Drosophila melanogaster: one gene and its partner. The protein of the gene in region 1 interacts with the protein of each later gene in a pairwise test. Each region holds a gene or a part of one and is shown in the gene's direction. Other genes may lie near its edges.

Region 1 (15,069 bases):
GCCGGCTTTTTATTCTTGGGTCGCACGAAATAAACGGCTGAGCAGTAAATCTTTGTCGGTTTAGGTTATTGAATATTTCATGCCCGAGTTGATTTATTATTTATTTCTTTTTAATGCCCGCTGAAGGTCAAACCAGCAGTTCCTTCGCCATGAACCCCTTTTATGGTCATTATGTGGGACAACAGTAAAGTCAAAAGCCCGAGGAGCCGATCGCATTCCCATTGTCCATCCAGCGGAACTGCCTCCTCCGATTTCGCTCCGCCCACAATCACAGTTTGCCTGGGCGGGCCAAAAAGAAGTCCACGACACCAGGACACCAGAATAGCAAAGCACCAAAGAGCCAGGACACTGGGAGAACACAAGCGAAGCAGAAAGCCGAGCTGGCTGGGAAGGGGAATTAGATAGAGACGGCATAATTAGAGCACGGCCACCACTCGGCGTTGCAAGCCTAATGAGTTCGGCTCGGCTTTTGGCGCTACGTTTGATGGCAATTGCACGGCCCTCTTCGCATTGTCATCGCTCGGCAAGGGAAGTCGCTAACCGAAAAAATCAGTGGGTCCTTCATACTCAATAATGCATGCCGCAGTCCCAGTCCCCAGATTTCGGACCAACCCCAATACCCATCCCCATCCGCTTCATCCTGCCCTTTTGTTTGCCGTTGTGGCGGGCGGTTGTGCAAGAAACGCACGACAGGGTGTATCAAGCTTACAGGACAGCACCAGCAAATTGAAGCCATAATAATAAGAAGACGTACTTATAACGACAATTCTTAAATTCCTCTTACAACTTAACCATTCGAAGTTGATACTAGGGGATTTGATATATATTAAAGGCAAAACTCTAGAAACTATCGGTTAAATTACTTCATAATTTAATGGTGATACAATGATAACTTTCCTTAACATTTAAATCCGATTGCAGAGGCTTAAAGCGTTCTTCCTAGGAATGCATTGCTCCAACAGCATTTTCTTGTCAAACAATGTGACCCACCCTGATGCAATGGTCGTGGGCGTCCGGCAGGAAGGATCTGGGCTGGGAGGACCAAATCCGTGACTGGCCGCCATTTGGCGCTCCGTGGGGTATTCTGCCCGTCCACAAAGTGCTTCCTGCAGTCCGGCTAGTCTGCAGGATATTGAAGTCAGGAGCGGGACAAGTCGCAGTCAGAAAACTGGTACACAGCAAAGTCCACTTACGTCCATGTTGAACTTTCACCCTGGCTGCTGCAACAGTTATTATGTTTGCATATCCCGGAAAATTTCGTGTGTTTTCCTCTAGCTGGGCTGTTAAATATTAATAAATCTTTTTCTGCATCGAAAAATGCCTTTCAACGGCGCAAAAAGTTTTCCGCCACAATAGACGCTTGTTTTTCCGAGTGTCTGGCTGTTCTGGGTGTTCTGGGTGTCCTGGTCGTGTTTGCATTTCTCCGGATGGTTGGATATGGATGGATGGATGGTTGGTGCGTCTGTTTGGGGTCCTTATGTAAATCGGTCGTTGTTCCTTTTAGCACTCGTCCTGTGCTCACTTGTTCCCGTGCTCCTAAGTGTTGAGTGTTTTGTTATTGAAGCATATTTTCCTCATTTGTTCTCGACCTGCACTCACTCGCCCGCTTTTAACCCCCGAATTGTTGTTAGTTGAGCACCAACAGCCAGCCACCAGGCAGGATCCTAAGGTGTATGCGAAACTTTTGCTCCTGAACCCTTTCATAAAGGACAGACCGAGCAGCAAAGGGCTTAATGTGTGTATTCGCTAAAAGCCTGTTACTGTTACTACTGCTGTTCATGGCAACCATGAGCTCCATGGATTGGATGGGTTGGATGGGCTGGATGGGCTGGATGGGCTGGATGGGCTGGATGGATAGGATGGCCGGGAACAACTGGTTGGTAGGCACTGAATTAAAAGTTTTACGGGCTCAAACTTTTGCCAACAAACTTGTGGCAGTCGCATAAAATGCCTCGACTACCCCTGAGCCTAAAAGCATGCACACACGCGGCAACAAAGCCAACTTAACACACAATTGCGCTTTTGCATATTTGAGCGCTGTTACAAAACAAACTAAATTCCGCGGACCAAATCAACAGAAGGATTTGCGGAGGACTGCCACTCTGAACCAGGTCAAGAGCTGTTAACTTGAAAATTACACAATTTGTGCATTTTGCCCGAGAATTAGCCAGTTAAAGTGCTCCAAAATGCCGAAAACCATTTGTTGACCAACTAGGATAACTCAAAGCCACAGCTTTCAAAAACAGAGCACTCTGGAAGGACTAGCGAAAAATGCATATAATATTCCAAAATTCGTCACACAACTATCGCTACATAATTCGGCCACAATATTTTGATGACTGCAAATTCACAAGAGCTCTGGAACAAAATGGCAGCGGCGGCCAATGACAGTAATTAAGGAAAGTGCAGAAAAAGTGACTGACACTTGGTAAATACCCATTGGGGCGGACTTGTTTGCCCCAGTGGCTTCTGACCGAGAGCAGATTGAAGGAGGAGCGAGCTGAAAGGCATTTCCCAACAGAGGTATTACACAAAGGGCCATGAAGCCAGTGGTCCAGGAACTGTTTGCTCTGACCGAGTCACGGAGGAGCTTTAAATACCAAGTCAGTCGTTGGCTTACACTCCGCACAATGGGATTAGAGGTGGAACTGCCTGCCAGTTATTAATAGAAATAAGCATCTGAATTAGATAGACAGTTTAGTTTTCAGTTCTCGACAACAGTATAATCTGATATCAATTTCAACGACTTACTCTTGAAGTATCAAAAATAACATACTTCCCTAAGTTGTTTCCATTAGAAGCAATTTCTGCAAAGTTTCACCAAGTTCTTAAATATATGATACCTTTTCTTATTTAAACGTTTGAAACTGAAATGGTCGAAAATTGTACTAAATAACACTTAAATCAATACGTCGTGGCAAAAATTTGCATATAAAGTACGCGCTAATGGTATTCATAGACATATGTTCCTGATCCGTATCCATATGCCCTTCTGTCCATCCGTCCGTTTCAAGTAAGCCGCTGTTCAAATTGTTTCCCTTTATTTTATCTATATATATATCATATCATTAATATATATCATAGTAAGCTTCGAAACGATTTCACTTCATTGTCCTCGACCGGGACCAATCAAAAAAGTTACTGCTTATATAAAATGCCCGATAATTGCCAGATAATAGTGTTAAGATTTAAGTTGATTGCAATAAACCATGGCAGCTTTCCCTTAGTATCAGTACGTTGATTTGTTATTGTCTTTTTCGCATCGCTTTCAAATAGCGAGCTTGAGCGGTCAGAAGCTTAGTTGGGTGGTGTTGTGGGTGCGAGTGCCAGATGAAGATTAATTTGTATGTTCACCCCTCAGATGCCACCACAAGACTCGAAAGACTTGGAAGACTGGGTGCCTGGGGGTCTGGGTCTCGCCAGCACAAAGGCACAGTCACGGTCATCAGCTGTTCATCTCTCGGAGCATCTCATCTCTGGAAACTGCCTTCTGGCTTGCCCCAGGTAACAGACACATCGGCATCAGGCAGCCAGAAATGGGGGCTGGATAAGATGGGAAGTTGGGCGCTTTTGTGGAATTCTTGTTTGGGGCCAGACACGGTGCCAACTGAATGATCAATGCTGGATGCTGGCAAAGAGCTAGTTCTCCTGGATTGTGTTAAATGTTCTATGAAAATTCATAAAAGGCTTGCTCAACTGTTTGCACGTCCTGGGACTAAAGCCATTTCTCAGTTTCGCAAACTAAGACATTGAGTATATTCAAATTCACATATTCACCTTTTAACACTAAACTTCATTATATGTAGTTGTCTACTTTTGAGACTGTACTTTTTTGGTACAATGACGCCTTTTAGATTCCATTGCCTTAAAATTTAATTAAATACGATAATGTATGTTTATGTTAAACATTAGCATAACTTACCTCCAGGTCAAAAACAGTAAATTAAAATGTTATTGCCACAAAACATGAAATTTAGTGGTGTGAAAAAATGGCTATTATATCACGCATACTAATGTTAATGTCACTTTTTATCTGCCTAAATAAATTTTAAAGATATTAAAAAATTAAAGCCGCTTTATTTAGACATTTTTCAGATGGACACTGTAATGTTTTAGGCGCAAAGACTGGTTTTAATTGTGCCTTCTAGTCTTATTGCCCAATAATTCAATAATCGCATTTGAAAGCTTTTGCTATTGGAGGCTATCAAAGGAGTTGATTCACTGGCCTGAGGTTATCTATGCAAATAGGCACGTGTCCTCGATTCGAGGACTTCGAGGGGCAGGAAGACGGTGCGGAATGCCGTTTGCAATAATTTAACTCAAGCCATCTTGACCCAAATTGCGGAGTGACACATCTCGGCGAAATGAAACCGCCCGCCCGAGGAAACTTTCATTTCGCAAGCTGTGGAGTGGGAGCCGTGTGAATGCTTACACTAATTAATGCGACACCTGCCTCATGTCACGTTCTAGTTGGGTTTTTCCGTTGGCAGGATTAATGAATGCAAGCGTTTTCAATTTTAATCCGCAAAAGCCGCAAAACTTTGGCTAGCCGCCATCATTAGCCGTTGTCAGGCGTCAGGCTGTCATTAAAAATGGCTTAAACATCAGCCCAGTAGGCGGTTGAAAAGTCCCCATCCTAGACACGTGTTTTTGGGGATGGCGAGAAATGGGACACCAGTGTCATTGATTTGCGGAGGGAGCTTAATTTTCCCGTTTAATAGTGACATAGTGACAGAAGTAGTGCACCTACGGACTGAAACAGAGGGTCCTTGAACTTCAAGAATTTCAAAGGCGCAGCGCTGAATGTTTTTCCATTAGCAGAATGGTCGATCGGGAAAATTCTCCCCGGACTAGAAGGTAAAATGGAAATGCAGGGTTTCCATTAGCGCCCGGAATCGAAGCGAAGGCAGTAAAATTTAAAAGCTCCGTATGCCTTTTGTTCTCCAACTTTCTCTGCTTTGCATTTCATTGAAAGGCATTCTGCACTCGCTTTCACCATCCGATCCAACCCAATCCAATCCATTCCATTCCAGTCCCTCCTTCTTCTCCTCCTCCACCGTATCCTTTGTGCCCGCCCGGCTCACTGGGGTTATGGCTGCGGGCAGATTCTGTTTTGAAGGAGGAGCACGGCTCTAATGCAATATAGTATAGTATACTATATAGCCGGCTGTGTGGGCGTAACGAGGTCACTGCTTTGGGACAAAAGTTGTCAACTCGAAAATTACACATTCTGGGGATCTGTAAAAAACACGAGCGAGTGTGCAGCTGCATGGGGGCGTGGCCAGAGCCAACATATCTTTGGCAGCCACTGCACAACTGTTGCCTTTATTTCGGCTTATCAGCCTGTAAAATGCGCAATTCAAATGCAAATGTGCAGCGTAATTAAAAATGTGCATTGCTCAACCAACTCTCCGACCCAGAATGCAGTCCGGAATATAGTCATATAGTCATACATAGCCAGCTATGTGGCCTGGCAGAGCCAATTTAAATATGTGCATGCAAACACACACACACACACATCTGGGAAATTTAATTAGTTGAGACCTTCGGCTCCTCACTGCTGCTGGCCATAAAAATAATAATGCGGAATGCGAACTCGGTTCGGCTCGGTAGAAGTGGTTGAAACGGATCCGCCACCCTTTGTTGGCTTCCTTTTGCGAGTCGAACATCGCAAATCGCTCTAAGCCCCACTATTCATGGCCGACAACATGGGGCACTTCCACCTGAAAGGGCTCTTGTAAATATTCAATTTCACACGTTCTATCAGCAGCCCACTGCCCACCACCCCACTATCCACTGCTGGCCAACCGACAAACCATCTAGCAGCTGTCAGCCAGTGTGGCCGCAAAATCGGCTCGGCACAGCCGGGAAATAAAGTCGCACATATTTTCAAATAAAGCTGCCGTTATCACAAATTGACAGCAAAGTATTGTGCGGCTGACTACTTTGTGTCAGCGGGTGCTGTGGGCTAGGGCTTGTTGCCAAAATGGCCAAATGGCTTTATGCGGTCAGGCAACGGGGCGGGTACGTAATGCGTGCGTAGGCGGCATGCGAAAGGGAGCGGCGCCGAACGGAACGGGACGCGACTTCCGCTTCCGGTTACACACACACACACGCACACACAGCTTGAAAGTGCCCTGCGGTCGGCTGTCACTGCGATGATTGCGCTGCGCACACAAACACAAACGGCTTTGGAAAACTAATAACTCGTCCCGAAGCGCTTTATTTAACAATATTAAACAGCCAATCTGCCGCAGGCAATTTCCGCATTCGCACTGCTTTTGCGAGGCCTGTCACATCGGCCAGGGATATTCAAACACGTTTTGAATGCCGATCGAAAAGCATATACTCAAAATTCCAAAAAACACAAGCCCAGCGCCCAAGCGCCATCATTTGTTTCCAGCCGACTTCCAGCTCCGATCGGGTACCAATAGCCCTGCACCGGACCCACTAAGATGGACGGAGGAGGGGACAACCAGCTCGCGGTGCGGTCCTTGGGCAGGCAGCGCGAAGCCTTCTCCCACTACGCGGGTCCACCGACGGCCATGCTGCAAGGACCCGATCCTGGCGAAGGAGACGTCCTTGCCCTGCAGATGGCCATAGAAGCCTTCATTCTAGCCGAACTCGAAGAGGATTCAGGCTTCGAGTCCGGCAGCGAAGACGACTAGCAGGATGGAAAGAGTAAAGTGATACTTTAGTAAATAGCACCCATGTATGAGCCATCATAAGAGGAATATATGTATCTAATGTTGCACCAACCTTGGGCTACATGATTTATGTATGCCGGTGGACCAATTCGCCCGCATTATGGACAATGATGCACGGCATTAATTAACTCGCAGTCTTACCTTTTGCAAATAGGATTACAAACACTGAAATGAAATAGAGCCATGTTTCGAAATGCCTTAGTTGGGTTTCGGTTTATTCATGTCGATTTGATTTCAATTTGATTTCAAACACAAATTCCATTTAAACACAGGGATGCCGGTGCATCTGTATCTGTGTGCGAGTTGCAGATTAGTAGAGAGTTGTAGTTACATTTATTTTACACATACATAAATACGCATATTTGTATACATTTTTAATATGCTCGTTCAAGATGAATTTTTCTATTTTTCTTCGAATTTACCATACGCTCTCTTGTGCAACATCAATAATAAATATTTACGTTTGTCTGCATCGGTATATTCGCATGTACGTATATTTTGCATTTTGATTCCATGGTTCACATGCCCATACGAGTATAGTTTTGTTCGAGCTCGGTTATAAAAAACTCGCTCGAATGTATTTTGATTTGCCTTAAAATCGAAATTGTTTTCTACTTTTCAAGTATTATATATTCCGCTTTAACCCCTTTCGAATAAATCAATGTTTATCACGCCTAAACTTGCTTTGAAATAAATGCTGTCTTTGTCGCCAGAAACCAAAACAAATAGATTTTCGGTAATCTCCGCAATTTTTGAAATTCTAAGTTTATATTAAATACAGTGGGGATTATTCCTTAAAATGTTATAGCTACTCGATATGGTGTCTTTCCTTGCCAACTTTGTGTTTGTTTAAACAATGTCCATACATTGCTCCTAACGTCAATTTTCGATTCATAGATTACGTATGGCTTAATTTCCAAAGAAGCGCGAAACAATAACATGCATGCAAATGAGGAGAACGTTGTTTGCTTTTAATATCAAAATTAAAATACACACGTTACACACGTTGTTCATTATTTGTCATTGTTCAGTTTTTTTCGTTTAGATTTAGTTTCCTATATTTGTATAAGTTACTCGTTTCACTTGGGGCTCTCCGTTGATAAATACACTGAAAACTCTACACGGTTTCCTCTCAGTCGGGAAATAATCTAAGTAATCAAACTGATCCCACCGAACTCGCTACGCACAGGTATAGGTTTAGATATTAGATTTAGATATAGAGTAGATACTCGTATATGTTTGTATATACTATATACTTCTGTTTGGTACATCTATAAATTCTTTACGATTGCTACTGCTGTATACATTAATGGATTTTTGTTGCGGAGAGAGATGAATACGGATTCTTATAAAATGCATAAACATTCAGCTTAAAGTCTAAACTGTGAGCCAACTGCGATTTCCTTCTTCTTCTTTATTCATTCCCCTCTCTCCCCTCTGGTCGGCTTGGATCGATACTATATAGTTTGGTACGAATATAATATATGTCTGCTGATAGGTTTCGTTTTAGAGAGTGCTTGGGGCACTCGTGATAGGGAGGGCTTTACACTGAAATCCATACAATTCATATTGAGTTGAGTTAGTTGAGACCGTGACATGCAATTCAAGAGTGAGTTCTGTAGTGCAGTTGTTGTGAGTGTGATTCGAATCGATTCGATTAGATTCGATTCGTTCGTTTGTTCGTTCGTTTCGATTCTATTTCGTTTGCTGGCTGCAGTTGTGGCTTTCGGTTTCAAAATTTAAATCACGCTTCGATCTATTCAAAAACTCCCACAGCTCATGCCGCAGGGGCGTTCCACCTGCTACCTGCCACTTGCCACCTGCCGTTGCAGCAACTTACAGCACAAACCCGTAACCTCAGTAACCAGTCGCATCGAACAGATCCGGAAGAACCAGCGGTGGGCAATTGTGCGGACTGCAGGTGACGCTCGGCATCTCGTCGGGAGTCACGGCATCCGTGCAAATGCACTGCAGGCAGTTGCCCGTGTCCTGCGGCAGAATGTCACCAATTTTATACAGTTTGCCTAGAACGAGTAGCGTTTGATTTGCAGTTTAAATGGGATTAGAAGTGAGCAATTGTTATGCGCAGTAGTGAAATACGGGAATGTTGTTTTCATTACCCAGACTCACGTCGGAATGTTTAGCCGGCAATCGAATGATTATACCGCTTATTTTATCAGAGATTTTTATTTGGCTTTGTCCTCTCTTACTGAATTTAGCAAAATGATTGAAAAGGCTTAAATAATATTTTAAATAGGCTTACTCAGCTGATGCAGTTCTTATCAAAACGCAAAGGACTTGACAATACGATTTTAGTCTGGCAAAATCTTTGTCGCAATGAAAAAGTATAGTAATATAAACTCAAACAGATGGAAGCAAACTGACCAAATAGCAGCTTGACCGCAAATGCCCGAGGATATTTATTTCTCTGTGCTACGATAATCCCCTTGGACGGCCACCTCCTTCGACTTGCTTGCTTACCCAAAACATTGCACATACGCCCTGGTGCCATCGGCGCAGTTGTTATAATCGTTGTCAGGGTGTACGGCGGGACAACAGGGCTCTGCTGAGGCTGATCCTGATTGTTGCTGCTCCTGGTGCTGCTGCTGGTGCTGACTGCCACTGGGTTCATTGTTGTTCCTGCTGCTCCAACCTGGCTGCTACAGCTGTTGCCATTGTCGTTAGCGCCTGACGTTCTGTTGCCATTTGCAATTAAATCCGTTTGGCGACGGGGATGCACATCAACTGCAGTTAGTGTAATGTCAATATTGACAACGCTCCCATTGAATTCGCTGCTGTAATCGTTGTACGAGCTGCGAAAGAAGACGGCGTCGTTGCCATTGTCTTTGCCGATGCCACCGATGCCGCCGATGCTCCTGTCACTCTTGTTGGCCGTGCCAACATCATCGATTATTGTCGATGCCGGCGTTTCCCGCTCCAGGCTGTCGTCCATGGAGTTTGTGTTGTCAGCATTCAGCTCGGTGGATGTCAGCCAGCGGTGGAAGGCGTCGTCTCGCTCCGCGTCTGGTCCACGGCGATCGGGTTGCATCTGTCCAAGCTGGTCGGGAATAAAGCACAGACTGTTAATTCGACTTGACTGCATGGTAAATAATAAACCAGCTCGAGCATGAAAAACCCCATTACCAGAAGCATTTCGGGCTCACTGGGCACACCACCGAAGGCGCAGAGTTCAAGCTTCTCGTCCGGGCAGCCAATGAAGTGGCAGTTTCCCCCAGACTAATTGGGTAAGGCCTTCCCTTGGGGTTTTCCGTAAAAGCTACTTTCGGGGACCGAGTCTTATAAATACCCTGAGCTTCTGACAAATGGAGGATAATAGTTTTAGTCTGTAAGGAGGCTTGGCTTCAGTTCGCTTCCCTAGTTCATCTTAAAATTAGAAAAATCACCCAACAAAGGAGGAAGTCTCTTGAAGATTCCTTAGGACTATCATTCGCACAATAACAGTATCACTCAGAAAGGACAAACATTGTCCCTCAACTTTTAATCTAACAGGAAGTTCTGGCATTTATTTCCAATGCTTACGTTTGGAGATGGATATGTTTTTGCGCTACTTTTCCAACACAATGCCCGACCAAAGTGAGGACCCTACTCAACCTCCCAACTCACATCTGTGGCTGCAACTGTGGCCCCGGACTTCTCCATTCCAGACAGCGTGCTTGTCACCATTTCATTTGTGCCTGTCGCCGTTGTCGTCGTCGTCGTCCTTCCCGTTGTCGCCGTTGTCGTTTTCGTTTTCGATGTCTTTGTCGTTGTCGTTGTCGCAGCCGTGGATGTGGATGCCACGTTGCTCGTCATCAACGCCCTGGCCGAGCTGTTACTAGATGGAGTTGGCCATTGTGTGGCAGCTGCCCTGGGCTGCTTTGTAGGCGGCTCTGGCAGAATATCGCTGTCGGTTTCCGCCTCATCAGAGTTTTTATCAGCGGCCAAGTCTCCGCTGGGTTCAACGCCTCCCTCTGCTGTGCCTCCGGCCCGCGATTCGGGCTCAGATGCGGATTCAGATGCCTTTTGTCGCGCCAACGCCTCTTGCTGCACCATCTGCTGCTGCTGTTGCTGTTGCTGCTGCTGCTGCTGCAGCAAGCGCTGTTTTTCGTGCAGCAAGTGCTGCTGGTGGTGCTGGTGCTGGTGGTGCTCGTGCTCCTCCGTCTTGTAGTCGTAGTAGAGCAGGGCTGGCAAGTTCTCGGGGAAGTTGAGGATTTTGCTGGACGAGTGCGCCTGTTGGTGTGGGTGGTGGCTGTGCTGCGGGTGCTCCGACGGGGGTGGGGGAGTTGGCAGGGGCGTCGAAGCTGCCTGCTGATAATGCGTTGCCTTTGCTGCGTGATTAACACCCAAAGCTGCCACATTCTGTTGCTGCTGTTGCTGATGTAGCTGCTGCGGTATTTTGAGCTGCTGCTGCTGCTGCTCGTGTTTGTGTTGCTTGATTATATTGTAGTTGCCAGCACCGCTCTTGTCGCTTTTGTGTTTTTGCTGCATCTGGAGCTGCTGCTTTATGGCGGACTTTTTATAATCCGACTGCTGCTGCTGCTGCTTCTCCCGCTGGCTGTGGTAAACTTCGTAGTCATTAAAATTCTTTTGATTCTTGCGATGCTTATGCCGCTTGCCAACTTTCCTCGCCGCTTTATGCACTTTTGTTGACTTTCCCGTTGTGCTCTCGTGGCGATATGGATCTGAATAGTCACCATCGCCATCGCCATTGCCATTGCCGTCGCCGTCGTCCTCGACACCAAGTCCAAGTCCTGCGTTGTCCCCCGCCGTCCTCGCCTTGTTTACATTGGCCTTATCTGCGAGAAAAAGGCAAAAGTTTCTCGTTATATTATGCATGCCGGGAAAAGCCGACGCAGAACCAACCGCACTTCTCCCACCAGCAGAAGATCTCGCCGTCCATGCAGAGACACACCTCGCAGGCATCCAGGCGCGGAACCTGGAAAGGGATATAGCAAATAACTTAGATGTTTCTCCTCCGACAAGTTCGGCCAGCAGGTGCTCCTGCGGCTTATACAATATATGTACACTGAACATGTGGGAACATGTGCACCCACAACCAGACAATCAATCACAACGCCAGCCGATTTGATGGCCTGAGATACAATGAATGGGCGAGCAAAGCACACATCTCGGCTGAAGGAGCAGGGAGACTGCTCTGGGTCTGGCATTCATATCATCACATGTGCGGTAACGAGCCACAAATTCAAATTATGCACTCTCTTTGTTCAATTACCAGGAACGCTCGTCCGATTATGGTTATTCAAATGACCACAGACGCAGAGTTCCATTGCAGCCTTACACCCACAAAAACGGATGTCTGAAGGATTCACTGAATAAAACGAGGGTTGAGTCAAAAGAAGATGACGAAGTAGAAAAATCATAGTACTTGTTAAATTATACAGGTCTAGCTAACATTTTCGCTACTGATTTAGCTACAAAGGTGCTGCAGGAACTTCTCTAGCTGCTTCCGAGTTGCACAGAAACCACAAATGTACGGCTAAGCACTGTTATAATTCATTTAACTCGTTTTTAAGCCAGTGAACTGTTCTTTTCTGACTAAATAGCAGCGTTCAACCAGTGAAAGACCGATTTGAAATATTGCCTCTGGCGTCATCCTACCTTCTGTCCGTGCGTGTACTTGTGCCCGTTGGTGAAGCACGCCGCTGCCCTGCTGTGCGGCTCCAGGTCGTCGTGGACAGAGGATACCGCATCCAAGTGGGACCCTGCTCCAGTCCCCTGAGCTGCCGCGGAGTCGCCATCCAGGGCGTTGTCCTGGCCGTCGCTCAGCCCCTGCCGCTGCAGCTCTGCATCGCTGAGCATCTGCTGCGAGAGCAGACGGGCGTCGTACTTGGCCTGGGACTGCGCCGTGTCCAGGTCGTAGTTGAAGTCCTCGTGCTCGTCTAAATACTCAAAGGGCAAAGCTGCGAAAGGGCGAGAACAAATGCAAAATAATCCCGTGCTGGTTTGGCTTTTCTCATGCGAACAGAGTCAGAAAAAATAGAAATTATATTTACTATAGGGTGGACCCGCATAACATATTCCCACGTTTAGCAGCATATGCTGTTTTGTTTATTAGGAAATATTTGGGCATATATTGATTTGGTTTTGCCGCTGCTGATTACGGCTTAAATATGAGCAAGTTGAATAACAAAAGTGTGATAACGTGAACATTAAACTAATTAACATTTTGGACTTTATTAAATCGAAATAAAACCCCTGAACTTTATTATTATTTGGCAGAACAAAACTTTTTGAATAGGATTTAAGTTAGCTGAGCACAACAAGTGTAAACGATTACATTATGAATTATATGCGTTTATAAATCACTTGCAAAATATTTCTTAATAAACTATGATAAAATGTTAATCCTGATGCAGTGGTAAAATATCTCCACATATCTCAGTTCACCTGAGGCTTTTCATTAGTGTATTCAAAATGCATGAAGAACAAGAATGATAACTATCTATTAATTAAAACGCACAGAATATGTATATGGGCCATAAGTATAGTTATAAAAACAAACAGATTAGTAAAATCCATACTTAAAGTGCTTGGCATTTTTATTTGTCCATTATCGGCTCGACAACAAAGTGCTGCCCGTCTCGAATGATTATTGTAGTAATAAATGCGTTTGTGTGAGCAAAGCACTAATTTTATTCCGAAGCTCTGGCTACTTATACAAATATTTATTCCGACGACTTGCCTGACCGGCCACCGATAGATAAAGCGTTTATATTCTCAGAATTGACTGGGCTGTTCAGTGTAGGTTGGGATTTGAAGGCTCCAAGATGCGTTCATCTACCGTGCTACTTGCGGCAATCGCCGTTCTCTTAGTTTCGGGCTACGAAGCTGCCGTTGTCCGAGGCGTCTTCGAGGATCCAACCCATCCTGGAAAGTGTGTTCTCGAGGGTTTGGTTCTTGAAAAAGGTCAAAGTGCACGCCACCCACAGAGGTGTGAGCGAATCATATGCGGAGAAAATAGTGCGGCAGAAATCCAATCGTATGTTTGCTTTTTACAACTCTATATACTATACTATATACGAACTTACTTTAGATGTGGTGCCTATGGACTTCCCCCCGGCAAAAAGTTTGGAAAGTACACAAACCCAAACGCAGATTACCCTGATTGCTGTAATCGTGAGATTATCAACCAGTAATTCCGTTTTGAAGAAAACAAAATTGAGCTCAAATCAATAAAAACATTACAAAGCGAAACGAATTAATAAAATCACTAAGTGTGAATATTAAGAACACCATTTAATAATATCTTGTGCTCGAATTTGTCTTAATAGCTTAAGTTAAAAATATCTAAAATCGGTATTTATCTCCGTTGAACAGCACATTTCGCATAAAAATGTTGAACGTAGATAAAGAATCATAAAAAATAATTAAGCTATAGTGGAGTTGTTAACAAAAACAAAAGGCGACAGTGAACCTTTTTGGTCATTTCATATCTCAAGAGAAAACAAAGAAGAGCGGTTCAAAAGTTCAAGGCAGTTTCCCTTTGAATAGTCACAAATATCTTATCAACATCTCAAAGTTTTTATGGATTCTTTGAAATATACCAAACTAATGTATAAAACAAGCAAAAGCAAGTAAAAAGGAAAAGCCTTTACTGATTAAAAATATATACATATGATCCATTACAGAAAATGAAAATCGATGGCCTAGTCTTAAACTTAAAGTGATTAGACTTCAAGCTACAAAGTCTATGAAACACCCAAAGATAGAAACATTTTTAAGCCAAAGTGTTAAGGAAAGGTTTCTACGTGAAATCGCATAATACTATAAAATGTTTTCTACTAAATTTGCGAATATTTTAATGCATCGCATGGTCCGAACACAATTAAATATTGACTCTACATTCGTCACTACGTGAACTGCCTCCTCGATTATTGAAGCCTGTCTACAAAATGAAAGACTTATAGAGCAGGGAAACAGGCATCGCTTACAGTCCCTTAGTGGTATATACAACAATCGTGGTTTATAATTCGTTACTTAGGACAGAACAAGGTCCACCCTGCAGTAGGAATTCAGCACACAAAATCCGATCGGCAAGCTGTTGCCACCTTACAAATGAAATTTTGGCAAAATTCACAGAGGCCATAAACGTTTGCTGGCATTTTATTATGCATATTTGATAAATTATCATAAAAATAAGAAGTGAAATAAATCACGGGCCACATAAAAGTCAGCGCTGTGTGTGCATATGTATGTTGTTTTATGGCAAACAGTTGTCATTAAATCAAAAGGCTGCACTCATTATGACATAAAAGCAGGGAAAGGCAAATGGAAAATGTGAAATGTGAAAGCGCAAAGCACTCATAAAAATGCAGAGTGAAACGCTTGCCGTAATTTATGT
Region 2 (16,246 bases), on another chromosome or scaffold:
TTCGTAACCGGCACAAAAACTTCTTCCTTTCCTTTCTTTTCTTTTTTTCTTTTTTTCCATTTTTTTTGTATTATTTTATTTTATTTTATTTCAGTTCTTGCTGGCCCGCTCCTTGTGTCTTACAACATTTTTCTAATCAGTCAGCGTCCACGTCCGCTTCAAATTTTTTGTAGTCTTCCTTCGATTTTCCCTTCATTGTATTCCATCCACTTTTTCCACATTTCGATACGGGTCCACAAAAAAAGATGCCAAAAAAAGATGCTGGCGGGCGGAAAATCGTGGGGAATGTACTTGAATTGGGTGGCGACTTAAGAAAGAAAAGCCTAAAATCTTTTTTTTACCATACTCACTTGGTGGATCTTCGGTTTATCGCAGAGAGAAAGACAATTTTTCTATATCTGAGTGGCAATAAATCGATCAATATTCTGAAGAAGTTGGCTTGAAGAAGGGGGTACTTTTCATAGTGATACGAATTAATCTATAACGAGTAAGTAATACTATAAAACCCTTTTTAGATAATGTGAGTGAGTAAAGAGTGTGAGTGCTGTCAAAATTAATATTGCGACCAGACATGTATACTTGTTCACTTGAAGGGTTTACAATCTTAAAAGATAATAGCAAGAGGGATCGCTATGGTCCAGTGTATAGACGGTTAAATACCCCTTATATTGTTGACAACATGCATAGCCAAGGATTAGATAAAATAGCCTAATATTTGGAAAATTGGTTTGATTTAATTTGGTAATATTGGAGAGGAGAATAAAATAAATGAAATAATGCAAATCTTTTTTACCGAACGAGCGACATCTTTTGGTGAGTAGAGGAGTGAAAAGAGGAATAATCATTTATAATATTGTAGTTAATCACAATGCCATTCTGTCATTCTCTCCAGCGAACACAACATATATTTAGTTTAAAGGGTAAAACTAAAAGCGCTTTAAAGTTAATAGAACCATTCCTATATAAAGCCCAATATAAAGTTTTCAATAAGTTATTCGATTACAATGCGAGCGGTTTCGGTGTCAGTGCTACTCATCCTTGTTGTCTGGGTGTCCTGTTTCGGCGAATCAGGCGCAGATTGCTGCTGGACAAAGGCCAAGCTGCTCTTCACGATGGGCACAGGATCGTGCGGAATGGTCAATGCCAAGACCACCAAATACGGATGCGAGGCCACAGTTTGCGCGGATGGAAGAGTGCTCAAGGGCACATATTGTGGCGTGGGTTCGTGCAATATCATTGGATGCTTTTGTCGCGGCGGCTGTCTCACTGGAAACTATGGCGAGTCATTTGTGGAAATAAATAATAGGTATCAGATCAACTTGATAAGCACCCAAATGAGGCTTGCCAATTTAACAGATACCGAGGCCTAATTTTAATTTTATTCCATTGAAATCAAAAAAAAAAAAACTTAACTTTGAGTAAAATAAAGCGTATCAAACAGATGTTATTTTTACGTGGTAAAAGTTTCAAGTTTGCTGATTGTTAATATACCTACCAGAGCGATTCGAAGTGAATATGTTTAAAGATTAATTCAGATACCGTATACAGTATTAAAATTATACCTTAGATAAATGATTCAATTTAGTGATGGAACTTGCCAGCAAAAATATTCATTTTAATAACGCGTTTTCAGGACATCTCACATAAGCGCGGTTAGGTTTCACCATTCAATTCAAGTGGTCGCTGGAGTTATCACTTTACCATTTAGATTGCATTATCCCCTCACTGGGCAACTGGGCAACTGGGCAACTGGACGACCTTTCGACCCCGGAAAGCCAATCATCCGTCCATCCAATCGCTGTGCTTTCGGGTATAATCCGTATATCTAGTGCTGTATCTCGTTATGACGCCCTGTCGCGGGAAGCGTCTCAAAGTTTTGGCCCACTGAATGGGTTCAAAAAGTGCCATAAAACACCCGCTAAACAGAAGTTTGCGTGGGGCGGGGGCGGCGGCCAAAGTTGGCTTTATGCCGGTGGCATAATCAAGGATCAGTGGGGGCAAGGACCAGGACCAGGAGAACTACGTGTCCACAAAGTGGCGCTCCGCGTGCAAACAGGAGTGGATGTGGCACTGGGCGTGGACGTGGGCGAAAAGAAATGATAATAATGCTCGGGTCAAAACAATATAAATGCAAATGCAGCGGCGCTGGCTGCTCAGTCGGCGTCGACTCAACGCCTTTTACAGTCCTGCAACGCATTTTAATCAGTTGGCAGTGGAACTCCGGCACCGAATCCAACTGCAGATCCCCCGTCCACGTCCACGTCCTCGTCCTTCATTCTGTTGGCAATCCCCGACTTTCCGCAGAACAGTGTCCTGGCCTGCTGGTCTGTCCTGTCCTGAATGCCAAGTGCGACGTCAGCGGGGGACAGTTTATGAGGATGGCGCGAGAGGCGCGAAAAGTTTACGCCTGCGGCTCGCAGGGGGCGTGGCATTGGGATGCACTCGACGAAATATCCATGGAGTTGTGGCACGGCAGGATATACAAATGGCATCCGATGCTCAACTTTCGTTTACAACGCATTTTAATCATACACACTAAGTTTTCTTTGCAGTGGATCGTGTCCGGTTTGGCCAGCATCGAGGGGACGACTGGTGACTGGTCCGCCCTCACCTGTTGCCCGGGCCATAAATCATAACTCAATTGAGTGGGCGTGGCAGCGTGCCCACAGGAAAAAAGCGTTCAGTATCAAATGGAATTGATTGCGAACATCCCAAGATTGCAGCAGCTTAAAAAGAGTTTCGCCAGTTTTCAGTTTTCAGATTTCAGCTTTCAGTTTTCCGAGTCCCCGGGCCCGTAAATCAATCGTTGGCCGGGATAATTCCCTCTGATGCGATTAGCCAGCAACTCCCGGAGTTAATCGAGGCAGCCGATAACGAGCCGGACCATCCGGATCATGGAGAATCGGAGTGCGTAACCGAGTATTCAAGTAGCCAAGTATCTGGATATCCGGGTAGCCGAGTATCCCCAACTGGGTTATGCACTTATTGGCTGTCCGCTTTTTGCGAATCCGATGAAACGGGTGTGGTGGGTGGAAAGTGCGTGGATGCATGGATGCATGGCTCAAAAGGCGCCGAAACTCGCTTTTCTTATTAACTAATTAAGGCAGCTGCCAAGCCAGATGCTGCCACATTTTCCCCAGCATGTGTGTGTTGCCAATTTAACGCTCCGGCTTTGTCGTCACTTTGTGTCTTCCTCGCCGTTAGCCCCCTTTTTTTGGTCTTGGCCCGGGAAATTTGCATTTCCATTTGCCTGCAGCGGGCGCAAGTTGCAGCTGGAAAACCCCACACCGCTCCAATTTTAATGAATTGCCAAAATCGCACAAATGCTAAACGAAAATTCAATTTGCAGATATAACAACAAGCTGGAGCAAGGCCTAAGTCGAGTCAAGAGCGTCGGGAATACCCTGGGCAAAACTGCTTTTACTTTGCTGGATGATGACTTTTATCCAAAATGCGAAGCAATACTTTTGATTCCTAAATAGATTTCTTAATAGCAGCTCGTATACCTTTAGTTTTCAGTGATCATTAATATAGGTAATACAAGTGAATTTATATGGAAAAAGTAATGATACTAAGGAAAATGAAAGATAAGAATATAATAATATAACATACCCAAAGCAACCAATTACTGGGTAGAAAAGCCACCGCGAGAGGCTTTTGCGATAGTAACAATAAATAAATTGCACATTTGCGGACGTCGACGCCTTTGCAACTCTGCCGGCAAATTGCCGTTGATTGAATTTATGTGTGTCAGGGGCGGGAGGGGCGAAAGGGAGCAGGGGCGTGGAGCAGGGGGCGTGGCACACAAACACACAGGCACGAAGATACACAAAAGACTCTTACATGCTTCATTATTTCTGTGGCTAAATTAAAGGATAATAGATTTATATGCTTGCCTGGGCCCGAACTGAAATCCATAAGATACACACACCCAAGCACGAGTATCTCGCAGATGCACAGGCAAATGCAAGTGCACACGCTGAAAACCAGGGTTGCCAGGCTTAAGTTATGAGGAGCCATTTAAAATCGTAGAAAAAAAATTACAAAATATCAGCATTCACGACTTGCGACTGCTCATAGAAATTGCCCTAGTAACATACTGGAAAACTTAAATTTTGGAGACCCTTAACCAACTTTTGTATAATGCAAATCGGGCATTGTGGCAGCACTGGTGCTCTTGTCCCAGCTTTAAGAAGTAGAAGAATAATACAAAATAACAACAAGCCAGGTCAAAGGCCACGAGTATCTCAATCGTGTTTGTTGGGCGAACCCATGGCTCGGCCAAGGAATTTTGAATGAAAAATATTTGAAATATCAAAATGCTTATGTTGATTTTTCCACCCTGACCCTCCTTCACTTTGACTTCATCCAATTCAGGAAGGACTTTTTCATTCACGACAAGAAGGCGAACAAGTAAGCGAACAAAGTTGCAAAAGGATGTTATGATGCTTTGAAAACTAGATAGAAGATCTACTTATTGCTTCTGTAAGATCAACATATGTATATCTTTAGAAGTTAAAGTACCTTTTTTTTTTTGTACAAACCATCAAACATTTAAAAAAGACAGAATCACACGATCATCGGAAATACTTATTGATATCAACTTTAGTAACGAATTTTTATATTTAACAATCTGTTATTAATTTATTTCATAATTTATTTTGCCCCGGTTGAGAAGCAAATAGAGAACTGCATGTGTCGTTGTTGTATGATTGCCATGCATTTCAAATGCTGCCCGAATAAATTTCAATGACCAAAAGATAAGTTTAGCATATTAGCATATTTTACGTAGCATACTTTTCAGCATTGACCGCACTGGAAAAACCGCACTACAATTTACCACAATCCGGCCACATGGAGTCGACCTCTACTCGTCCAATCGCAATCCCAATCCCAATCCTTTGCCCCGCAAATTCACTTGAACTCTCACTTAATTTTTGCTAATTTCTGCTGTTGTTGCCTTCGCCTGCCTTTCGGTCGTTAGGCAAATGATTAAGTAATTGCTCTGGCTCAAAAAGGAGGCGGTCCTGGAACTGGTTTGTTATTGGGGACTGGGACGTGGAACAGGAATAGGGACAGGGTCGCCGGCTCATGACCATCAGTGGCTCATTAGCTGGGGGCCGAGCGAGTCGAAAAAGCAAAAAAAAAATTAGGAAGAAAGGCAGCCGGCTCCAAATGAGCGAAGGAATTACACGGAATGAAGAGTGGCAAATTGAGTGAACGAGCGACTTTAAAGGACGAAAAGGATCAGGGAATGGGCCGGTCGGCGGTTTTATTGCATAAATTAACTTGGCCAAACACAATTTTGCAATTATTCTGCAATTAATAATTAATGTGGCCGCTGTCCGAGAACCGCAGGGCGAACGTTGCAGCAGAGAGGATGGTGCCATGAAGGATGGCCAAATGTCGAGGCTCAAGGCCCTTTAAACGGCTTTAAAACCACCCAAACGTTGAACTTTCGCACTTGAAGCTTTGCGGTCGAGTTGTCATCGGTGTCCTCGATGTCCTCGATACTCTCGTTTCACGGTGCTCAGCTCGAAGCGCTCGGATCTCAGCGCCCGGATCTCCTTGTTGCCGTCTGTCACTTCATTACTGTCACATGATAACTGGAAATTGTTGAGCCCTGCCCTTGGCTTTAAGTGGCTTTCACCTTGACGCCCACTCACCACCACACGACCCCATTGGGCGGCTTTGGCCATAGCAATGGCTCCATAAAAAAAAGGCGATACGCTCCGGCCACAAGGGAACTCATTACGGCCCAAGTCCGGCCAACAAGTCACATCACCGTAGTGGAAAGGCGAGTGTTTGTGTCCATTTGGCGTACGTTTTATGAGGACACATGCCCTAGCCAAACACCCCGTGCAATTGTATTCGCATATGTGTGGCACAGAGGGTGTCGCCAACTGGGGGTTGAAATGACGGGATACCCTGTAAAAATTAAATCGAATTTTTCGATGCTTCGTTCCAGCAACACAGAATTTTTTTTGTACATTATTACTACATTTCGCCTATCAATAAAATTGAATACTAAGATATTATCTGAGCATAATTTCACCTATGCCCATCATAGCTCATTTCCAGCTTAGTTGCACCCACAGGTGGCTTTTTTCACAAGGAGATTAAAACGCCAAGCCACACCGGGTCAATTGTTTTCGAGGGTATGGAGGAGCAGCATCCGCATCTCACAGACGCATTCTGGGCATTATTGGAAATTGTGCGCTTCGTTAGCGGCAAATATGTTGCAAAGTAGCCCCAGACAAGCAAACGCCTCCCCCCCACCACCCTCTTCGATTTTCCGATATTGACCAAGCAGAAGCGAGCGCTGAAAGCCTATTTCCCAGTGAGTCGCCACCACTTTTCCTGTGGATGACAGTTTTCTTGGGCTACGGCATCTAAGACGTTCCTTCTGCCTCTCATTCCTTTCCTGAAAACGGAATTTCCGCCTCCCAGACGACGACTCTTTGTGTTCATGTGCGTCTTTCGGCTTGGGCTTTGTTGCCTCGAAGCTTATCATTTATTGCTGCTGATTGCTTTGCCTGTCCATACAACCACCCAGCCACCCAGCCACCCAACCACCCAGCCACCCATCCAGCCACCCCCTTTTTGGCCACCCAGTGAAGGACACCCTCTTTGGATTTTGCATATGCATATGCGTAGCAAACGAAATGAAACGAATGCAGAAAAAAAAGTGCCAATAAAGAAATTTAATTTAATTTCCAACTTTGAGATATGTACATACATATATGGGGAATGAAATACCCGACGATGAGCCCCCTTTTGGTGAATGGAAATCGAAACGCATTTGTCAGCATTTCGCATTTAAACTTTTGCGCCTTTAAGTGCAATTTTCAAACATTTTGCGGCAGATTAAATGGGCGAATGGAGGCGGGACTGGGTCCTTAAATACGGTTAAGCATTTACATATGTTTATAAATTTGCACAGGAAGAAGTTCCCCTTTTCGAGGTCGGATTACAACGGTTTCTCTTGTGATGAGCCAAATGTGGGTCCAAAAGAAGGGAACATCTGTTGTAGAGAACTGAAGGATGTTCTCGAGGTTCTAAGAAGTGAAGATATTCCTCATTTTTCAATACTCATTCGGATAAGAAACCTATTGGATTTCTAAGTATTAGAAAATATATGACACTATTATTGTTGGTATGAATGCCTTTGGTGTCTTCAAAAGATCTATTAATTGAGCATACCAGCAACAAAGATTTTCGCTTAACAATTCAAAATGGGGAATTTGATCGCTTTTTTTATGCATAAATGTGTTTTTAAAAATTTGGAAATTTTGGAAATTTTATTTTGTAGTTACGAGATATTAATTTATGCCAAAAAAAACCCATAGTACTTAGTACCTGATCGACATTTTTCCTTCACAAGTCGACTGTGGACGGGATGTCAATCGAATTTGGCCGGATCGAGCATTCAAATGCCCAATTTCAGTTCTAGTTTCAAAGTTGTCGGAGCTCACGAAAAAAAACGGTTTCGAGTTGAATCAAGATATTGAAGTTGCAGCAGTTTTCGTTTGATTGGTGAGTGAAAAGCTTCCCTTTGCCCAGCAAATACAGCGTTTAACCCTGCCAAGCCCCTTCTCAACATCTCATTCATCGCGGGCGCAGAAATTGCCAGCGATTTTTATCATTTTAAATGGACGAACAACAAGAACGACGCAGTGAGCCGAAAAAAAAGTGAAAAAAAAATGTGAAAAAAATGTGAAAAAATGTGGAAAAATGTGTGGCGCAGTCAAGTGGCGGGCATTTAATGCCCGTTTTGTAGCCGTTGTTGTTGTTGTTGCGATCTCAAAGGCGGATTTGCATTATAATTTATTGCAGTGCCTGCATACTCTTTGTCCTTGTGTTTTTCCGCCGCTTTCCCATTTTCCTCGGCGCACTTTTTTGCTTTGGCTAATTTCGATGCCAGGGCGGTGATAAGCGGAGCATTTCTTTAAATGAGTTTTCCCAGTCAAGTTTTCCCCCGCGGGAAAAGTTCCAAGCAAAAGGCGTTGAAAATCCCGTTCTTAATACTTGACGCCCCGCTAACATTTATAAATTATTAATTTCCCCTCTCCACCTCATCACAGCATCTCTTCCCCCCCCCCACTCCACTCGTTTTCTGTGTTTTGGCTGCTGGATTAGTGGATCAGTTTATTCATATGTGGTTCAAAGCAGCCAAAAGAACAAAGAGCCGACACGAAACGACGGCTTAAACTGTCTCTTGTTTTTATTAGTCCAAAAGCCGCGTTGCAAAGCCACCCAACCACCCCCAAAAACAGCCACCCACTTCGCCCACCCGAAAGGTAAATGCGACACGTAGCTTATTAGCAGCGAAAGCAAAACTTTCATCAGTTGGTGTAAGCCCGGTTCTGGAAAAACGTTCCAAGCCCATAAAGTACAGTTTTCAATAGCCGGGAAATCCGGGAAAATCAATGCAGCTGCGTACTGCGATTAACTGAAATGAAACTAAACGAAGGATTAAATACCCTTTGAGTAAAATATGCGTGGCTTTTACCATGAAAATGTAAAGCGTGTTCGCCAAAAAGCTCAATGGCATATGTATATGCACAGGGAATATGTACAGTCTCATTCATCTGGATATTTTTGGATAGATTACATATGTATGTGTGTAATTTATAAGTATTGATACGTTACCCAGATTATTGCATACAGATTTAAATTCCCCTTTTCATCTGCAGTTCGTAGGGCAACGCAAAAAGGATTTAGAATATTATAACGCTCAGAAAAAAAAAAGACGGATAATTTGTATATTTTTGTTCACTTTTGAGCTAGAAAGACCTCATTAAAATAAACATAAATTGTAAATTAATAACTATGCTTTTGGCCCTTGACTAATTGACATTTGATATTCGGCTCTGAATTTTCGACTCGAAGGGCCAAATAAAATGCATAATTAAGACCGTGAGTTGTCAGATATTAGCGATTCGATAACGAGGACAATTCAACGGCATTTCACTTTATATGAAGTTCAATTTAATAGGCACCTATTTCTGTGCCCCTTTCATGTACCGAATTTGGTGGACGATTTCGTGTGCGAGGGAAATTGTTTAATTATTTAGTAACTCGATGCTTAAAAGCTTAACAAGCAAAAGCCCATGCTAATGATGGGCGGCCAGTGGGCGTGATATCCTAGCGACCAAGCTTCGTCATAATTTGGCCCAAAATGTTGATGCCGCCATTAAATCAGAGTCACAGACCTCGTTCTGCTGACCACAGAACCTTTTAGCCAGCCCATTTCCATTCCCACTCCCACTTTCCCACTTGCCCACTTGCCCACTTGCCCGCAAAAGTGTCAATAACGTGGCCAAGAAGGAAGAATCGAGGGAGCCGGAGGAGGAGGAGGAGCTATTACTAGCTAGGGGCCAGAAGGCAGTGGCCAGGATCTTTCGCCCGGGGCCAGCTGGTGTCCTTAGCCTGGGCAAACAATAAAATATTCAAAGTTTATAATGTAAATTAACCCAAAGTTGCCTGATGTCCTGCCGCGTCGTCCTCTGCTCTCCACTGCCGCCAGGCGCCATGAATACACAATACACATGTCCCCCGGAAATTGGTGGGGTCGCACCGCCCTGCCATCCCGTTTGGCCACCATAATTTCTGATATTCTTGGGGCCTCACAAGGATTTGGCCCGGTCCTCGTCCTGTCCATGTCGCCGCGCCGAACTGTTTGGCTAATCAAATTTTATTGAGCCACTGAGTGCTGGGCGGCGAGACAGCCGAAGTGGGCGTGGCATCTAGTTAACATGGCACCGAGCCCAATGGTCAATAGCAAACTATAGTTTAATGAGATTAATTTGGACAAGGACTTTGTGCCTGTAACTGCATTAGTTGCACGCAAATTTCGTATCCAACTTAAATTGGCTGAGTGCTATTTTAATATATTTTCATATAAAGCATATAGCTAAAGTTTAACAATGCATTTTTGCAACTGATTAATGTTGAACAAATCGTGGCATATATGAAGTCTCAAGGGACTTCAGTTCGCCTACCCACGTAGCTCATATCTCTAATTACTACGTTGCATATTAACTGACGAATGACCTACTATTTGATATATAGGCCAGATATCTTGGTCATGAGTCAGTCCCGGCTTGTAAATTGACCTTTGATCGCAGCCAGCTTCCTCATCTCGAAACCATCCCACTCTCCTGGCCATCTTCAGACTATGCTGATGCTTAACTAGCCGCTTATTCATCAGAGCTCCGAAAGCCGAAAGCCGGGGAATGATGAATGCCCCCAGCAAATCGGATGAGATGCGAGCAACTGGAAGAGCCATCTCGGTGGAGCTGCTGGTGGAGATGGAGATGGAGATGGAAGTGGAAGTGGAAGTGGAGACTTCAGTGGTCACATGCCACAGCCCGTTCAAGTGTTGTTGGGACATAAACATCTCCGGGCCCACATGAAATGTCATCTTTCATTAGATTAACGATTGTTCCAGTGGCTGGTCGTTGGATGCTGGGATGCTTGGATGTTCGGGAATGTTGGGGAAGGAGTGGCGTGGGTGAGGAGTGGCGTGGAGTGGCAGGGGCAGGGCGGCGTCCAGTGGCAAAGCTCTCTGCCCGAAATCAAATCTTCAACAATCTGTTCTGCCAAATGCCTCCGCACACGCAAAAACGGGCTGAGATGAAAGGGCGGGGAATCGCCGGCATATGGCTCCCCGCAAAAAAGTGTCAAATGCGTGGGGACAGAGGCGAGTGGGAGAGGGGGGGAGAATGAGCCTATGGCGCCAGGAACAAAACCAGGACTCAGGACTCAGGATCCAGGACGACTGTCAACTTGAGCCTGACAAAGTATTTGCGGCTTGCCAGTCATTTTTCGTGTTTGTGGACAGGGGCAGAGATTGTGTGTGTGCACTTGCAAAAATTCTAGTTGACTTCGTTGGGAGTTTTTTAATACACAACATGAAAGTGATACGCATTTTCAAGTTCCTTTTATTCATGCTTGCTTTTAATTCACTCATTTAATTCAATATTACTATTTTTTTTTTTTTTTTTTTTTTTTTTTTTTAATTTTTTATTATTTATTGAATCTTCCCTTTGTGTTAAGAGACTAACAATAAGTGTTCAAATCTTAATCTAACTTAATTAACTTTCACTTAGTGATAGTTTTTTTTTTTCATTAATGCCCTAATAAGTTTATTGCTGGGCTGGGAGGTCGTTGCGGTGCAGCCGGCTTTGACTGCATACTCGGATTAGTTTTCTTGCGAGGGGATTTGTATGGGTGGTCAGCTTTTCGTTATACTTCGTTTTTTTCTCAGCTATTACTTCGATTACTAATTTGATTTTTAGGTCTCTGTGTATGTTTTCGTTTCGAAGGTACCACGGCGCTCCAGTGATAATTCTCAGAATTCTTGACTGTGCTCGCTGAATAATGTCTATGTTACTTCTGGATGCGTTGCCCCACAGCTCGGAGCCATAAGTCCAGATAGGTTTTAAGACGGAGTTGTATAGAAGAGCTTTGAACTCCAGACTAAGTGGAGAGCGAGCATTTATGAGCCAGTGGAGGTTCCTTGCTTTAAGTTTAAGATGTTTCGATTTGGCTTCTATATGTTTGCGCCAAGTGAGCCGCCTGTCCAGATGAACTCCCAGATATGTTACCTCGTCGGCTTGTGGAATGCATATGTTATTCAAGACCAGTGGTGGGCATGTTTGTTTGTTTAAGGTAAAGGTAACCTGCTTGCATTTTTGAACATTTATTGAAATTCTCCAGTCGGCAAGCCATCGTTCTACAGATGTTAAGTGTCGGGATAGGAGTGCCGTGGCTTTTATTGGGCATTTCGAGCGACTGAGTATCGCGGTATCATCAGCGAACGTGGAGGTTGTTAGATTGTAGTCTATGGGGAAATCCGCCGTATACAGGGTGTATAAGATTGGACCCAGTACACTGCCTTGCGGCACTCCAGCTTCGATTGCGCAATCGCGTGAAGTGCTTGTATCGCATCTTATTGCAAACACTCTGTTATATAGGTATGACTTCAGTAGCTTATGTGTGTTTTGGGGCAACAGCTTGATTATTTTAAACAAAAGTCCATCGAGCCACACTCTGTCAAATGCCTGCGCGACGTCTAGAAAAATGGCTGTGCAGTATTCTCGATGTTCAAAAGCAGTACGAATTTCTGACGTGATTCGGTTGACCTGTTCGATGGTTCCATGTTTTTCTCTAAAGCCAAATTGATGTGTTGGAAGTGTGTTGTTTATTCTAAGATGAGGGCTAATCCGAAGGAGTAGCATTTTTTCAAACAGCTTTGAAAGACATGTTAGTAAGCTTATCGGTCTATATGATGATGGCTGCGTTTTATCTTTTCCTGGCTTTGGAATCATTACTATGGTCGACTTTTTCCATTTTTGAGGGAAGTATCCAAGCTTGGCGATTGCGTTGAACAACAGGCAGATGTGAAGAATAGCACACTTTGGGAGTTCAATGAGCATTCTTGGAGTTATTAGGTCGTAGCCAGGCGATTTTCTTGGGTTCAGTTGCTCTTTGATAACCTTTGCTAGTTCACATGGTCGGAATTCAAAGGGTTCTTGAGGATCTAGATTGGCTGCTATTAAAGGAGGGAGAATAAATGTGTTGGTAGAGGGATTTGGTCGGAATACATTTTGTAAATGGTCAGCGAAAGCACTGGCTCTTTCTTCATCACTTCGAAACCAGGTGCCAGAGGGACTTCGGAGTGGCATAATTGGCGCTATTGGAGTCTTTAGGTTTCTGTGAGCTCTCCAAAGAGGGTACTTAGTGCTGGTGGGAGAGAGTTGCTCGATATATGAACGTTGGCTGTTTTTTTCCTCTTGTTTGAGAGCATTGGTAAGCCTGCGTGTGGCTATCTTAAGCATGTGCTTAGTAATTGGTGATCTATTAGACTGCCAATCCCTTCGTAGGCGTCGTTTATCTAATACCAGCCGCTCGATTTCGCGATTAGTTTTGATGTAGTTTGGTTTTGCATACGTCACTGGCGGGGTTGAAGCCTTTGCAGCCGAAACTAAAATGTTTTCAAGAGTTTCCGTTGACTTGTCTATATCCTCCTTTGTAGATAATGCCGTCGTTAGTTCTATGTGTGAACAGACATACTTTTGATACCTTGGCCAGTTTGTTCTAAAATTTGTGAGTCTATACGGTGGGTCGACGATGTGGGGGCGAGTTAGCATATTTAGAAAAACAGGTGAGTGATCTGATGATAAATCTGCTAGTGCTTCGGCGGTGACCATGTTGCGGGGGACATGTTTAGTAATTGCAAAATCGATCAGGTCTGGGATTTTTCTTGGGTCTGCTGGCCAGTATGTAGGCTTACCCGGGGATACATAGTCTAGCTTGTTTTCTGGCTTCGTAAGCGCATTGTACAATTGCTTACCCTTTGGCGACACAAGTCGAGATCCCCAATGGGTGTGCTTGGCGTTATAGTCACCCGCTGCGATGAACCTGTCACCTAGTGTGTTAAAGAATTCCATGAATTGATCCTCAGAGATTGGAAAGCGCGGTGGGCAGTAGACTGCGGCTAGAGTCGTTGAACCATTGTTGAGTTGTAAGGCTATGGACGTAGATTGTAAGTAGTTTTTGTCAAAATTGTTTAAGTGGTGGTGTTTTATGCGATTTCTGATGAGTATTCCAGTGCCTCCATGAGCTTTACCATCTGGATGATTTGTACCATAGAACAAGTATCCTGGTATATGAAAATTGTTTTTATTTGTGAGGTGCGTTTCTGATAGTAGCATTACGTCGATGTTTTTTTCGTAAATGAACTGTGTGAGCTCTTGTGTATGCCGTGAAACGCCATTTGCGTTCCACAGAGATATCCGTAGGGAAGCCATTATGGGGATTTTGAAGATACAAGAAGTTGAATCAGGATATTTTGGTTTTTCATGAGCTCTTGCAAAGTATTTTGCATGAACGTCATGAAGTCTTTCATGCTTTGCTGTAGGGATAGCATCATAGCTTCGATGCCACTTTGTTGTGTTTGTTGGATGTTTGTCGGTGTATGTTCGGAATGAGCAGTTCTTGTCGGTGGGGCGGGCACTTCTAGTCCGGATTTTAGGGCGCTAGCGAAAGAAATTGTTGGAGTAGTGCTTGGGACAGTTAGGGGTGGTTGAAAAATCGGTTGCGGAGAGTAGAAATTGACTTTGTTGTATGTATGTGCTGTGGCAATACGTTTGTTTAGGCGGCTCTTCAATTCTTTGTACACCACACAGCCTCTGTAGTTTGCAGTATGTTTTTCCCCGCAGTTACTGCATTTCTTCACAGACTTATCGTCCTTGTTTTTGGGGCAGTTTGCGGTAGTATGAGGTTCGCTACAGACAACACATACGGACTTAAGGGTGCAGTATGCCTTGGTGTGGCCGTATTCTTGGCAATTAGTACATTGAACTGGATTGATACGTTTGTGCGGCTCCTCCACGGTGATCCTCCGATGTAGCAAGTACTGTAAATTGTATATTGGGTGCACTTCGTTTTTCTTTAGTGCCTGGAGCTCTGGTTCGAGTTCTATTTTGAATAGTGGCTGCGGAACTTTGTCTTTGTTTAAAATATTAATAGCTGTCTTTGCAGAAAAGTTTTTGGCCTTCAGAGCCTCAATTATCTCAGCTGGTGTCACTGTTGCTTCAATGCCCTTAAGTACTACCTGTAGCCCTTTGCAACTTTTTAATTGGTATGTGTAGTAGTTTTTACCAGCATCATTTAGGTATTTAGTCACTATACGGTGGTCTGCTTCTGTTTGGATCTGTAGTTTTATTTCATGAATATTTCCTTTTTTAAGTGGGATAATGTGGAACTTGCTGTCACCAATCAAAGCAACGAGTTTATTTACAAGTGCATTTGTACTTTGTTCTCGTATGAAAATTGGTGGAGGCCTGGTCTTTTTTGGTTCCCCTACCGTTTTTTCGTTGGGTTGTTCGGTCGCAGAATCAGCCAAGATAGCATATCGGTTTGAATTATTTACTGCAGAGTTTTCATTGCCGTTGTTGGTTCGATTGATTTTGGGTTGATTACCTGCCTTATTGTTTTGAGGGCTGAGCTTTCTCTTGATTTGGATGTAGCGATCCATGCCAGTCTGCACAGTCGAAATCGACTTCTGCTTTTGTTTTGATTCTTCTTTACGTGCATTATTGTTGTTGCAAACGGTCAGTGCTGCTGAATTATTTACAGCTGGCACAGCGATAATTAGTTGGGCCGCTGACGAAGTTGATGTTGTGGCAGTTGCCAGTGAGGTCACTGCACTCGTTATTGCAGTGTTACAGTTACCCGGGACGGTCGTTTGGCGCTGCGAGAGGAGCGGGGTAGGAGAGGCGGTCTCTTCGCTCCACGACTTGTGAGCCGAAGCAGGCAGAGAGGGAGAGCAAGAACGCGGTCTGTCGTTCGCTGAGGGCAAAAGTTTCGAGTTAGTTGAAGGTGAGGGTGCTCGATCACCGATTTGCGGTGAGACGAAAGAAAAGTATGCATTGTTGCGTTGTAAAGAGAGCCGGCGCTCGTCTTGTTCACATTGTCGCTGAGAACGTATGTCGTTTTGATTCATTGTTCTAAGTCCACATATAACAATTACCAGAACAATATGGAATAATTATTTATTTTAGTAAATAATTACTATAGTCAATAATTGTTAGTTGTGCAAACTGCACTTTACACTTTGTGTTTAACTTTCACTATACTGTTGTAGTTTTTAGAACTTGCTATTCGTAGCTTGAAAGAAACACGTCTCCACCCGAAGACTGTGGAATGCTACTATTAAAATACTATTTTTCTTGATCTGTACCTATTTGTTGACTGACCAGGAGCGAGAAAGGGAATGAAATTGGTAGTGGGTTTGAGTTGAAGAGTCAGCAGGAATAAAAGCAAATGAGGCTTGAACCAAATGCAAATTAATATGTGGTGCTGCTGGGCGGGAGATTCTCAACCATAATTCTGCCAAACTGACCTCTTCTCTTTCCCAGGCACCAAAAGCAGAAAATGTCCGAAGAAATGGAAATTACTCCTATTACCGGAATGGATGAAGTGTCCGAAAAAACTGCGGAGAAAGTCTTTGCTCCAATGTTCGAAGCAGAAATGTCCGAGAAAATGGATATAACTCCTGTTACCGGAATGGATGAAGTGTCCGAAAAATCTGCGGAGAAAGTCTTTGCTCCAATGTTCGAAGCAGAAATGTCCGAGGAAATGGAAATAACTCCTGTTACCGGAATGGATGAAGTGTCCGAAAATTATGAGGAGAAGGGCATCGCGCCAATATTCAAAGCACATATGTCCGAGGATA

The links.
Region 2: the proteins of CG9445 (region 1) and CG14190 interact in a two-hybrid assay, tested with the Drosophila melanogaster proteins (one large-scale study listed by BioGRID).

What each region holds. Positions count from the first base shown.
Region 1 is NT_033778.4:6,830,189-6,845,257, reverse strand, and holds CG9445 (uncharacterized protein), read left to right. Parts: upstream 1-6,202; 5' UTR 6,203-6,455; coding exon 6,456-6,668; 3' UTR 6,669-7,184; downstream 7,185-15,069. Other genes in the region: CG34215 (uncharacterized protein), read left to right, coding at 13,496-13,707, 13,762-13,864; CG15236 (uncharacterized protein), read right to left, coding at 8,565-8,731, 9,189-9,765, 10,332-11,503, 11,571-11,643, 12,327-12,628.
Region 2 is NC_004354.4:19,049,469-19,065,714, forward strand, and holds the start of CG14190 (uncharacterized protein), read left to right. Parts: upstream 1-7,442; 5' UTR 7,443-7,536; intron 7,537-15,929; 5' UTR 15,930-15,945; coding exon 15,946-16,246. Other genes in the region: Diedel3 (diedel 3), read left to right, coding at 1,005-1,370.